Linked DNA regions of Caenorhabditis elegans. The protein of the gene in region 2 purifies or fractionates together with the protein of the main gene of each other region. This does not show direct contact. Each region holds a gene or a part of one and is shown on either strand. Other genes may lie near its edges. The genes, in order: pgm-1 and alh-10.

Region 1 (4,559 bases), on a different chromosome or scaffold from region 2:
CAGTAGAAAATCGAATTGAATTTATTTAATAATGTGGAAAAATCGAATAAAATTGTAAAATGGGTTACTGTACTGCTTAAAGGCACACCTTAATCTTTATGTGAGGATATTTTGTTCGTGGCGGGATACCACTTAAAAACTGAAGCATTTCGCTACATTGTAATTAATCAACTTTTTAAACTGAGGATTTCATTCTAAAATGCAACTTTTGAACTTACTATTTTTAATTTCTGCCCACTGCTCTTTAGAAATACGCTCATCAATAAATTCTTGGCCGGCAAAAGCGAAAACTTGACGAGCGATTTCTCCATTTCCACGAGATTGAAAATAAATTAGTTTATAGGAAACCATTTTTCAGAATAAAATGAAGAATTCGTCACAATCTGGCGCTTTTGAACCCTTCGCTCTCAGTGTCTGCGTTTCTCATTTCTCACTAAATCGACATCAGAAAACCACAAACATCAACTTTTTTTTCCAAAAACCAACATTGATGTATTTCACAATATTCTCATAAGTTTTCAAATTTTCATTCAACTTTTCGTTTACGTGCAACATAAAATTATATAAACCGAGGAAAATCTACACATAATTATTTAGCTAAACTCATGCAATATATAAATCATTTTTAAATACTAAAATTATGTGATAACAGTTGGAGCCTTGCGATTAGTGAACTGCTCCATTTTGCAAGTATCAAGTGCAATCAACACCAATGGTTTGAGCAATTCGTGAGCTGGAAGTAGAAGGCGAGAAGTGTCATTTGAAGGAATGTACGAATCAACGTAGAGACGGATGGTAGCACCGGCAGATCCTGTTCCAGAGAGTCGGAATACCAATCGAGATCCATCTTCGAAGACAATTCGGAGTCCTTGTTTGGTTGCAACTGAACCATCCACTGGATCAGTATATTGGAAATTGTCAGCGACAGCAACCTGGAAATAGTATTTTTTAGAAAAAATAAATCTTTTCGAACTTTCTCTCACCTTATATGTAACCCCATTTGCCGAGAAATCTCTTCCAACAAATGCTGGCAATTGAGCTTCAAGGAAAGTCATCAACAAGTTGGCACCAGCTGCATCCACATTCTCATAGTCGTAACGAGTGAACACATTTCTTCCATATTTCTGCCAATGCTTCGTCACAATTTCCTCGACGGATTCTTTTCGGTCTGCGAGAATTTGAAGCCATGCAAGAAGTGCCCAAACGCCATCCTTCTCACGAATGTGATCAGATCCAGTTCCGAATGATTCTTCTCCACAAATAGCAATTCTTCCAGCATCCATAAGATTTCCAAAGTACTTCCAACCGGTCGGTGTCTCATACACTTGAAGTCCCTTTGCCTTGGCAACCAAATCAACAGCTCCAGCAGTTGGCATTGAACGAGCAAAACCAGCAACCTTACGAGTCTTGAAATATGGAATATAATCAATGTTATCAGCAATAACAGCTAAAGAATCACTGGGGCAAACGAAGAAGCCATTCTTTCCAAGAATCATATTACGATCACCATCTCCATCAAATGCAGCTCCTAAATCGTGTTCTCCGGTGTGGAGGCGTTCAACAAGAGTTTTTGCGTAGGTGAGATTTGGATCTGGATGACCTCCACCGAAATCTGGCTTTGGAACAGTTCTCAAAAGATCAGAAGGATCAGCTCCAAGATGATCGACAAGAATTGTAGAGATGTATGGTCCAGTTGCTCCGTGCATCGAATCAAGTAAAACTCTGAGTTTGCGTCCAGTAAGTTCACCAGCGAGAAGGGATTTGATTTTTGGGAAATCAAAGATTTTCTGCATGAGGTTGATGTATTCGGTAACTGAATCAATGACGTCAACGACAAAGTGACCAACTCCCTCAATATCATATTCATATCTGAAAATTAATGTACATCAATGTAATCAAAATATTGATGTGTTTACCTTCCAACTTGTGTAAAATCGCATTCTAAATCCTTGGCAATCAAGTATTTATCGATTTTAGTTGTGATCTGATAAATGGCATCAGTGACTTGATCTGGAGCAGGTCCACCATTTTCGCAGTTGAATTTGATTCCAAAATCTCCCTTTGGACCTCCTGGATTGTGACTAGCAGTGAGAATTATTCCTCCATCAACAACACGACCTTCGTGTCCTTTTCTGATAAGATTCGAGAGAGCTGGCGTCGACAAGAAACCGTTTTGACCGACGATAAGACGGGAAAGCTGAAAAACTCAAATTTATAAAAAAATTACTAAAATTTCTCAATATTTCTTACCCCATTGGCTGCTGCAATTTTAATAATCACATTTGTGGCTTCCATCGAAAGAAACCGTCCATCTCCACCAACAACCAACTGAGAACCCTTCTTTTTCGATCCAAGACCAGCATCCAAAATTGCTTGAACAAAGTTTTCCGTGTAATTCTGCTGCTGGAATTCCGGAACCCGTTTGCGAAGACCAGATGTTCCGGGTTTCTGTCCTGCGAATGGTTTTGTGGGGGTTTCAACGACGGCGATTCCCATTTTAGGCTGAAAATAAATATTATAGATCAGAAAATAAAATGGACTGACTATGAGAAAAGAGAAAATAGTAAACAGAAAATGATCGCTTCGTATCTTATCACGAAAGTCAAGTGGTTGGTCAATGTTCAGTGATAGTAAACATAGAAAAATGAATAACTTTAGAAATGGGCCGACCTAAAATGTGCTCGAACTCTTCTGGGATAACTTTTGACCTCAAATGCAACTTTTAAATGGGGTTTTTAAAGTCCAGGTAGACAGACATGTTAAGAACACGAAGAATTTATTTATCTTCTGGTGGGTGGGCAGGAATAGTTCAGATTTCGCAGCGAAAAAAGAAAAGAAATGCCAGCTGCAGTTGTTGGCGCCAAAGGAGAGCACCCACACAAACAGAGAGTTCAGAGAAATAGAGAGCAACAAAATACGTGTAGAAATGGAACAACTGCTGCTGTTCATCAAAAAAGATAAAGAAAAATGAAAAGAAATCAATGAGCGAAAAAAAATTTATCTTCTTTATACTCTCTTTCGAAAATTCGAGACGCCCCCTATTGCTTATCAAGGTTTTCATCGCTACAAACTATTGAATATATTGTGTCGAACACAAAAACAACGAAATTTCGGGAAAAAGAACGATACAAATGGTGAATACCGCGCGCGCATTTCGAGTAATTTGTTTTTTTCAAACAAAATTTCAATAATGGTATGCGGTAATTAAAATCGCTGCGATACTGACAAACACTTTTTTCCTTCTGTGCCTTTAAACCGACCGTAATTAATAAAAAACTTTTTTTTGATAGTAACCGAATGAAATTTGGAGAAAATATTGATAAGTATTTAAGAAAAACTCAACTTTTTATTGAAACAAAATGACTCGCTTTTTGTTTTTTAAACGAATTCCGATTGTAGGTTAAGGTAGTTAAAATCGTTGCGGAGCACACGAAAACTTATTCATGCTGCGCCTTTAATTCTACCGTGGTTAATGTTTCACTTTAATGAAATTTTTCAAAAAACCAAAAACAGTTTTTTACCCAAAAATTATATGAATAAAAGAATCTAAATTATTTATAAAAACAAAGTGACGCTCTCACTAAAAATAAAACAACGGACTTTGTGCTGTTTTTGTTTTGTGCTGGAAGAATCACTGAAGAATAAAACATGTTTAAAAAACACAAATGTTTCTAATGTAACATTTTATAACAAAACTTCAAAGTAATATTTCCAAAAATCATATGAATCATCGCCAAGATGTTTGAAATTGATCGAAATATGATTTTGTAACGTCTTCAAATACAGTAATCGGGTTCACCTGACGGTCATCGCGTCTCTTATTCAAACAATGGATTTTCCCCTGAAAATATATAATGAAAATCTGAAAAATTGATAAAAACCTACAGAAAATGGCATATCTCTAGTTTTCCGTAAATGTAAAACGCAAACGGAAGGAATTAGAATTGCACCAAGTGCCAAATTAATATCAAAAAGTGAAATCATAACTTGACCCGAATATGTTTTTGAACCCAGATATACTCTAGGAACTACAATAAATATAATAACAAAAAATATGAGAAAAACCAACATGGAGCTCATAACTTGCAGATATTTAATAATTTTCACATTTTCTTCAACTTGAAACTTCTTGCTCAATGTATAATTTACATTTTTCATTTTCCGAAGATTCTCAGCTTTCCATGATAATCTCTTGGATTCTTGTACATTATAATAGTAAAGGCACATTAAAACCTAAAAAATGAAGAAATTATTTTGAAAAATGGGCATTGTGCTTCTTACAATGTTTGAGAAAACTGCCCATAGTGATGCGAATAGAATAATATACAACAAAGAAGCTTCAACTGAAAATAACTATTTTTGATGTTAAGAATGTGAATTGTGAAAAGAGTATATGCCTGCCAGTGCCTATACCTACCCCTTTTTTGTTTTTAAAATTAGGTTATTTTGCTGCTTTTTTGAAAATAGAAAATCCCAAAAAACCCCTTTTGGAAAGTTGTGTGTTCTGCAAATTTTCTTGTGTTTTTTTCCAAGTTTTTCCAAGGACGCAGGCAGGCACG
Region 2 (5,820 bases):
TTATCAAAATCAGTCATCAAACGATGATAACACAGACAGATGAACATTCCAGTCTCATCTATGAGTTTAATTTTTTTAAATATTTTAACTGCAAAAAGCACTGATAAAAGCTTATAATATTGTGGGAAGAATACGGAGACGCCTTAAAATGGAGTATATAAATAGCTGTGATAAGCAGATAAAATTTATTATTTTACTGGACACTGAAAATGCTTCGTGTTTTGTTCTTTACTCTTGTCGCGCTTTTGTGTTTTGTGTCACCAAATTGTCTTCCTGGAGATACTCCATTTGAGATTTAGTAAGTTATTTATTGTTATAAATTGTCTCAATATCACATCTTTCAGTTGTTTTTCATACAATCGAGTACATGGAACATTCAATGACTCCGATGCTCATTGCTTGAAAACCGTTGGTGGAAGTCTGGTATCAATTCACAGCATGATCGAAAACAACTGGATTCAAAGTATGTCTTGAACATATGAATTTCTAAACCAAATACATTGATTTCAGAACTAGCTGTTGATAATCTAGATGCTGACTATGACTTGTTCTGGATTGGTGGAAGCGACGAAGGACATACAAATGACTGGAGATGGACAGATGGGAGCGTTTTGAACTTCACCAATCCCGGACCTGGACAGCCTCTTGAAGATCGTCATTGTGGAGCAATGCAACTGTCAACAGGAAGATGGTTTTCCGATTTGTGCACAGTTAAGCATCAGTTCCTGTGCCAGTATCCAAATGGAGCATATCCAACTGGAGGATCGTACACATGCCCACCATGTCCATCTTGTTCTAAATAACTTTTGATTCGAAAGAAAATATTTATATATTATGAGCTAAATTGGATTTTACAATAAACGGTTGCGATTCATGATAAGTTAGTACTTAGCAGCAATATTCACACAAACAGTTTTTGCATCGGAGTAAAAGTGGAGTGAGTCGTGGAGACCTTCTCTTCCATTTCCAGATTGCTTACATCCACCAAACGGCATGCTCAGGTCGCGAGCCTGAATTTTCAACATGAGAATAATTTAAAACCGAGAGTTGATTAACTATTGGAAAAGTTCCAAGTAGTTTTTAGTGACGCTTAGTGAAACAATTAAGCAGCACAGAATATCTATAAATTTTTTAAAAGCATTCTTTATTTTTGGTGATTTTCATGGATTCTTGGTACATTTACAATTAATTTAGTTTGGTCTGTAGCTACATGAACATCATTCCAAGCAAAACAAATTGGTCAATCGTCATGTTGTCTGTCTACCCACACATACCGCTCTTATCGTCCGTAATTAACTAGAACTTGGTCACACCCAACTCGAATTATCATCTCCCATTATCTTACCAGCCAAGTGTTGCACCAAACTGTTCCGGCTCTCAGCTCGTTGGCCGTGTTTAACAATTCATCACTATCTGAACTCCAAACTGTTGCTGACAAGCCATAGGGAGTGGAGTTTGCGCGTTCAATTACTTCCTGTGTTATCAGAAAATACTTTAAAACTTGTAACATCATAACATACCTCCGCTGTGTCGAAGGGCGTGATGCACACAACTGGACCAAATATTTCATCTGTCATAACTTTCGAAGCGTCATGCAAACCAACAATTACTGTAGGTGTAATAAAATAGCCCTAAAATTTCAAAGATTAGCAAGGTTAACTAATAACATCTGACTCACATTCTCACACCCATTTTGAATGGTCGTCACGCCTCCACAAAGAATATCGGCGCCTTCTTTTTTGGCAAGCTCAATGTAGCTTTTCACTTTCTCGTAGTGCACTTTTGAATTCATGGCTCCGATTTGAACTTGAGTAGTTGGATCTCCCACAGTAAACTAAAATTAGAATTAATGAACTGAAAAATGTAATGCAAACCTTCTTAGCTTCTTCTACATAACTTTTAACGAAGTCAGCAAAAATTGGTTTTTGCACAAAAAGCCGACTTGTGCAGAGACAAATTTCTCCTTGGTTGAGAAATGAGGACCTATAACATTATCTAGTTACAAATTTGTGCCTATTTGGAAGTGATATCATTATGTTACAAATTTTGTATAGATAAAAAAGGATGATTTGGTAACATCAAATTACGTCAACTGTCATCGTGACGAGAATTAGTTTTATCAGTTTTAATAAACATATTATCCTTACTTTGAACCACAGTGTTTGCACAAAAAGTTGTGTTTTTTTCAAATTTCAAACTAGGTATCTACACATGATGGGCAGAGTAGACAGAACAGTTACAATTTCAAATACCTTGCAATTGAAGCAATATCCGACTTTCGGTAATTAGAGTAAACTATTCCAGGATTCTTCCCTCCCATCTCCAGAGACACTTTTTTATTGAGCTTCGCACCATCTTCTTGGATTTTCTTTCCTATTACCGTGCTCCCAGTGAAACTAATGAGTGGAACATCGACATGATCAACCAATCGTTGTCCAGCACTTTTTCCTTCGCCAATCACCATATTTACGACACCAGGAGGAAATCCAACTAGTTTGAATGCATGCATTAAAACCCATGCAGTAACACTAGTCATCTCACTTGGTTTACAAACTACTGTGTTTCCAGCCACCAATGCGGGAGCCAATTTGAACGAAAGCTAAAAACAGTTGTAAAAAATATTTTTCGAAGTTCGATTTTACCAAGTAAAGGGGAAGGTTCCATGGGCTAATAAGACCAGCAACACCTACAGGGTCATTTTTCACATAGTTAACAAATTTTCCTGTAGGTTGCTCGAGAATGGTTGAAGTTGATAGGGAGTAAAGAGCAGCATTTGCAAAATCTCTAAAGTTTTGCACACAACGAGGAATATCCATCACTCTAAACAGGAATTGGAGTTATTATTTCAAAAAAGGTTCACTCACTTAGCCAGTCCAATTGGCTTTCCTTGGTCACGGCTCTCCAAAATAGCGATATCATCGTTAAACTCCTCTATGAGATTAGCAACTTTATTGAGAAGTGCTGATCGTTGCTGCACTGTTGTTTTTTTCCAGCTGAAAATGTTTTGATTTGAAAATTAATTTTTTGAGTAGTTCGAGGATTTTTTTGGGTTGGACACAGTTTCAATACAGATTCTCCGTAAATTTGCATAATAATGCGACATGAAATAGTTTGGAGATTTGCATGATAAAACTGGTGTACAAACTTCAAAAATATTTATAAAAACTAAACCTGACAATTAAAACTTTGAAAATCTGATTTTAAATTTCCAGTTTTGAATATAATTTGTAAAAAACTAACAAATACACATACAATTAAAGGTGATGCAGTAGAATTTTGTATTGCTGTAGTAGACTTAAAATTTTATGAAAACACCAAATTTAGTCATTAAACTTCTACAAATCTTCTCAAAATAAAGTTATGGCGGCTTAGAAAATGACATAAAGTTTGTAAATATTTAAAATTCGACCTACGTGGCATTGTCGCAGAGGCTGGAAACAAATTGTTATAAAATCGCTGTCTAATTTTGGGTATACAAGTTAATTATCATGTGTTTTCAACTAGATTTATGTAGGTATTTTAAGGTCGATGGATCTATTAATTTTTAGCCGGGAAAAATTGTTAGTTGTTAAAATGGTATAGTTTCAAATAATTTATTTTGCACTGCTTTAAGAATTGAGCAATATTTGGTTTATTTAAACACAAAAACTTACGTTTTGAACGCTTCTTTAGCGGCTTCAACCGCTTGATCTACTTCTCTCGCAGTCCCGTCTGGTATTTTGATCCAAGGTTTTCCAGTCGAAGGATTAACTGAGTCCATTAATTTCTCCGATCTTGCAAATTCATTTCCAATAAAATTTGTCAATGGGTCGTGTTGTTCATTGGGGGAATCGATAAGCTTTTGAAGAATATTTTTGAACTCCTCGCGATAATTCAAAGAAGCCATTTTGAGTCAATTTTGAACCTTGTGTTTTTGGTAGAATGAATAGAATTGTTCGGTATGTTCTCCTATCTCTGCAATATCATCATCTCTTATATAGTTCTCATCGATCGGCACGAACAACACCGAGTATCTATTCAAGGTCAGTATGCAATGCAAAAACCTTATGATGCATGGTTTGTCCATGGTGTGCCTACAAAGATAACATTGTTGTCATATTTGTAGTCTGGAAAATATTCTGAAAACTTAAACTGTATTTCGTAATTTCATAAAAAATTTTAAAATTGAACGTTTATAAAAATATTAATTAAAACAAATAAGAAACTGAAAGCGTTGGGGAAATCGATGTGTTGGTGGCAAAATTTGGTATGAGATTTCGGATAACAAAAATGAATTTGGTATATTTTTTAAATAGAGAATCGTTGATAAAGGAAATAGTTTAGCGTGATAATTTAGAATAGTTGAACAGTTCAACATTATCACAAAATAATAGGAAAGAAGACAAAAAAACAGAAGATGCTTAACAAAATTTTGCAAAATTTCATCAAGCTGTGCACGCGTTTGGGCACCGGGGAAGGTGAGGGTAATGTGACAATAAGGCGACAGGAAGAGGAAATTATTAGTTATGGGAACAAAAATAATTATCCCGGCTCAACACGTAAATTAATAATAGAAGTCGATCAGCAATTTAAACGTATTTTATTAGGTAGACAAATAATTATTGACGTATTTTGTCAATTAACAATTTTTGTAAATTTTGTATGTGTGTCTTATAGTAAAATGTGAATGTATGAAAACATAAAAATATCAGCTACTTTGGCTACCTGCGTAGTATTAAGAATCTAAAAAATCAAAAATTTTTTGAAAAATGCTTTTCGCGATTTTTTGAGTTAGCTGTGAAGAAAATATTTCCAAGAATTAATCAAAACTAAAAAATATCGTATTTTTGTGCGGTTTGCTTTTTGACTTTGATTTACTATTAAGTTTATGGAATGGCTCAATTGGGTTGGGATTCATTTTTTGCATTAAGCAAACAGAACTTAATTGATTTAGATATTAACATTACAACTCTCACGGCTAACTCAAAAAATTGGAAAAAAAACTTTTCGATTTTTTCGAATCGTATTACTACTCAGATGACCAAAGCAACTGATATTCATATGCTTTTATACACTCTCGGTTTACTGTAAGAGACACATATAAAATTTACAAAAAATCGTTAATTGGCAAAACACGTCAATAATTATTTGCCGACCTAATAATTTTTAAGGGCTCTTTTTCAGATATTTTAATATTAGAGTTAATAAATTATCTGATCGATTTTCATAGAAAAAGTTTGATAGAAAAATTATAAAGATTATCTTATTTCTGTCCCTCTTGCTCCAAATTGATGACATTGAAGCATTTGGTTGGCAAGTTGTCACGGATTTCCTCTAGGTTCAAAACCTGAAAAATACAGTTTAATTATACGAATACTATAGCCAGCAAAACAAACCTCCTTCTGGAGCTCAGAAATATCATTTTTGAGCTGTGCCACCTTTACGTCCTCGTCAGCGCGGTATTGCTGATACGTGGGAACTTCCTTGGCAAGTTGTGCCTGAGCCAACAATTGATCAAGTCTGTCAATTTCCTCCTCGAGCTCATCTAGCTCCGCGTTGTTCACTTCTTCCATGGTATCTGAAATATGAGTGACATTAAATAATTGACTGAGCTAAATAGTGTTCTTACCCAAAGAATTGATGATTTTCTTGATTTCATCTTCCTCAGCGAGAATGGTAGCATTTGCTTCGATGGCAGAATTCTTGGCAAGAGTTGCCTTGCGGACCGCTTCAGTAGCCATTTGCTTATCGTCTTCGGCTTGTTTCTTGTAATACTGCAGGTTTTCATTTGAATCTGTGAGTTCTTCCATTAATTGTTCAATATCATACTGAACAGCTTCG

Evidence for each region.
Region 1: the proteins of alh-10 (region 2) and pgm-1 fractionate together in Caenorhabditis elegans (co-fractionation; one large-scale study listed by BioGRID). This does not show direct contact.

The regions. Positions count from the first base shown.
Region 1 is NC_003280.10:4,887,380-4,891,938, reverse strand, and holds pgm-1 (phosphoglucomutase (alpha-D-glucose-1,6-bisphosphate-dependent)), read right to left. Parts: upstream 2,503-4,559; 5' UTR 2,497-2,502; coding exon 2,251-2,496; intron 2,198-2,250; coding exon 1,917-2,197; intron 1,870-1,916; coding exon 984-1,869; intron 933-983; coding exon 639-932; 3' UTR 512-638; downstream 1-511. Other genes in the region: gst-9 (putative glutathione S-transferase 9), read right to left, coding at 219-351; R05F9.7 (Serpentine Receptor, class E (Epsilon)), read right to left, coding at 3,728-3,841, 3,886-4,233, 4,282-4,343.
Region 2 is NC_003284.9:7,139,692-7,145,511, forward strand, and holds alh-10 (Aldehyde dehydrogenase domain-containing protein), read right to left. Parts: upstream 3,951-5,820; 5' UTR 3,887-3,950; coding exon 3,654-3,886; intron 2,994-3,653; coding exon 2,865-2,993; intron 2,821-2,864; coding exon 2,643-2,820; intron 2,600-2,642; coding exon 2,253-2,599; intron 1,984-2,252; coding exon 1,875-1,983; intron 1,835-1,874; coding exon 1,679-1,834; intron 1,632-1,678; coding exon 1,521-1,631; intron 1,475-1,520; coding exon 1,346-1,474; intron 1,011-1,345; coding exon 882-1,010; 3' UTR 813-881; downstream 1-812. Other genes in the region: clec-86 (C-type lectin domain-containing protein), read left to right, coding at 210-298, 345-463, 511-803; Laminin-like protein lam-2, read right to left, coding at 5,243-5,326, 5,376-5,557, 5,609-5,820.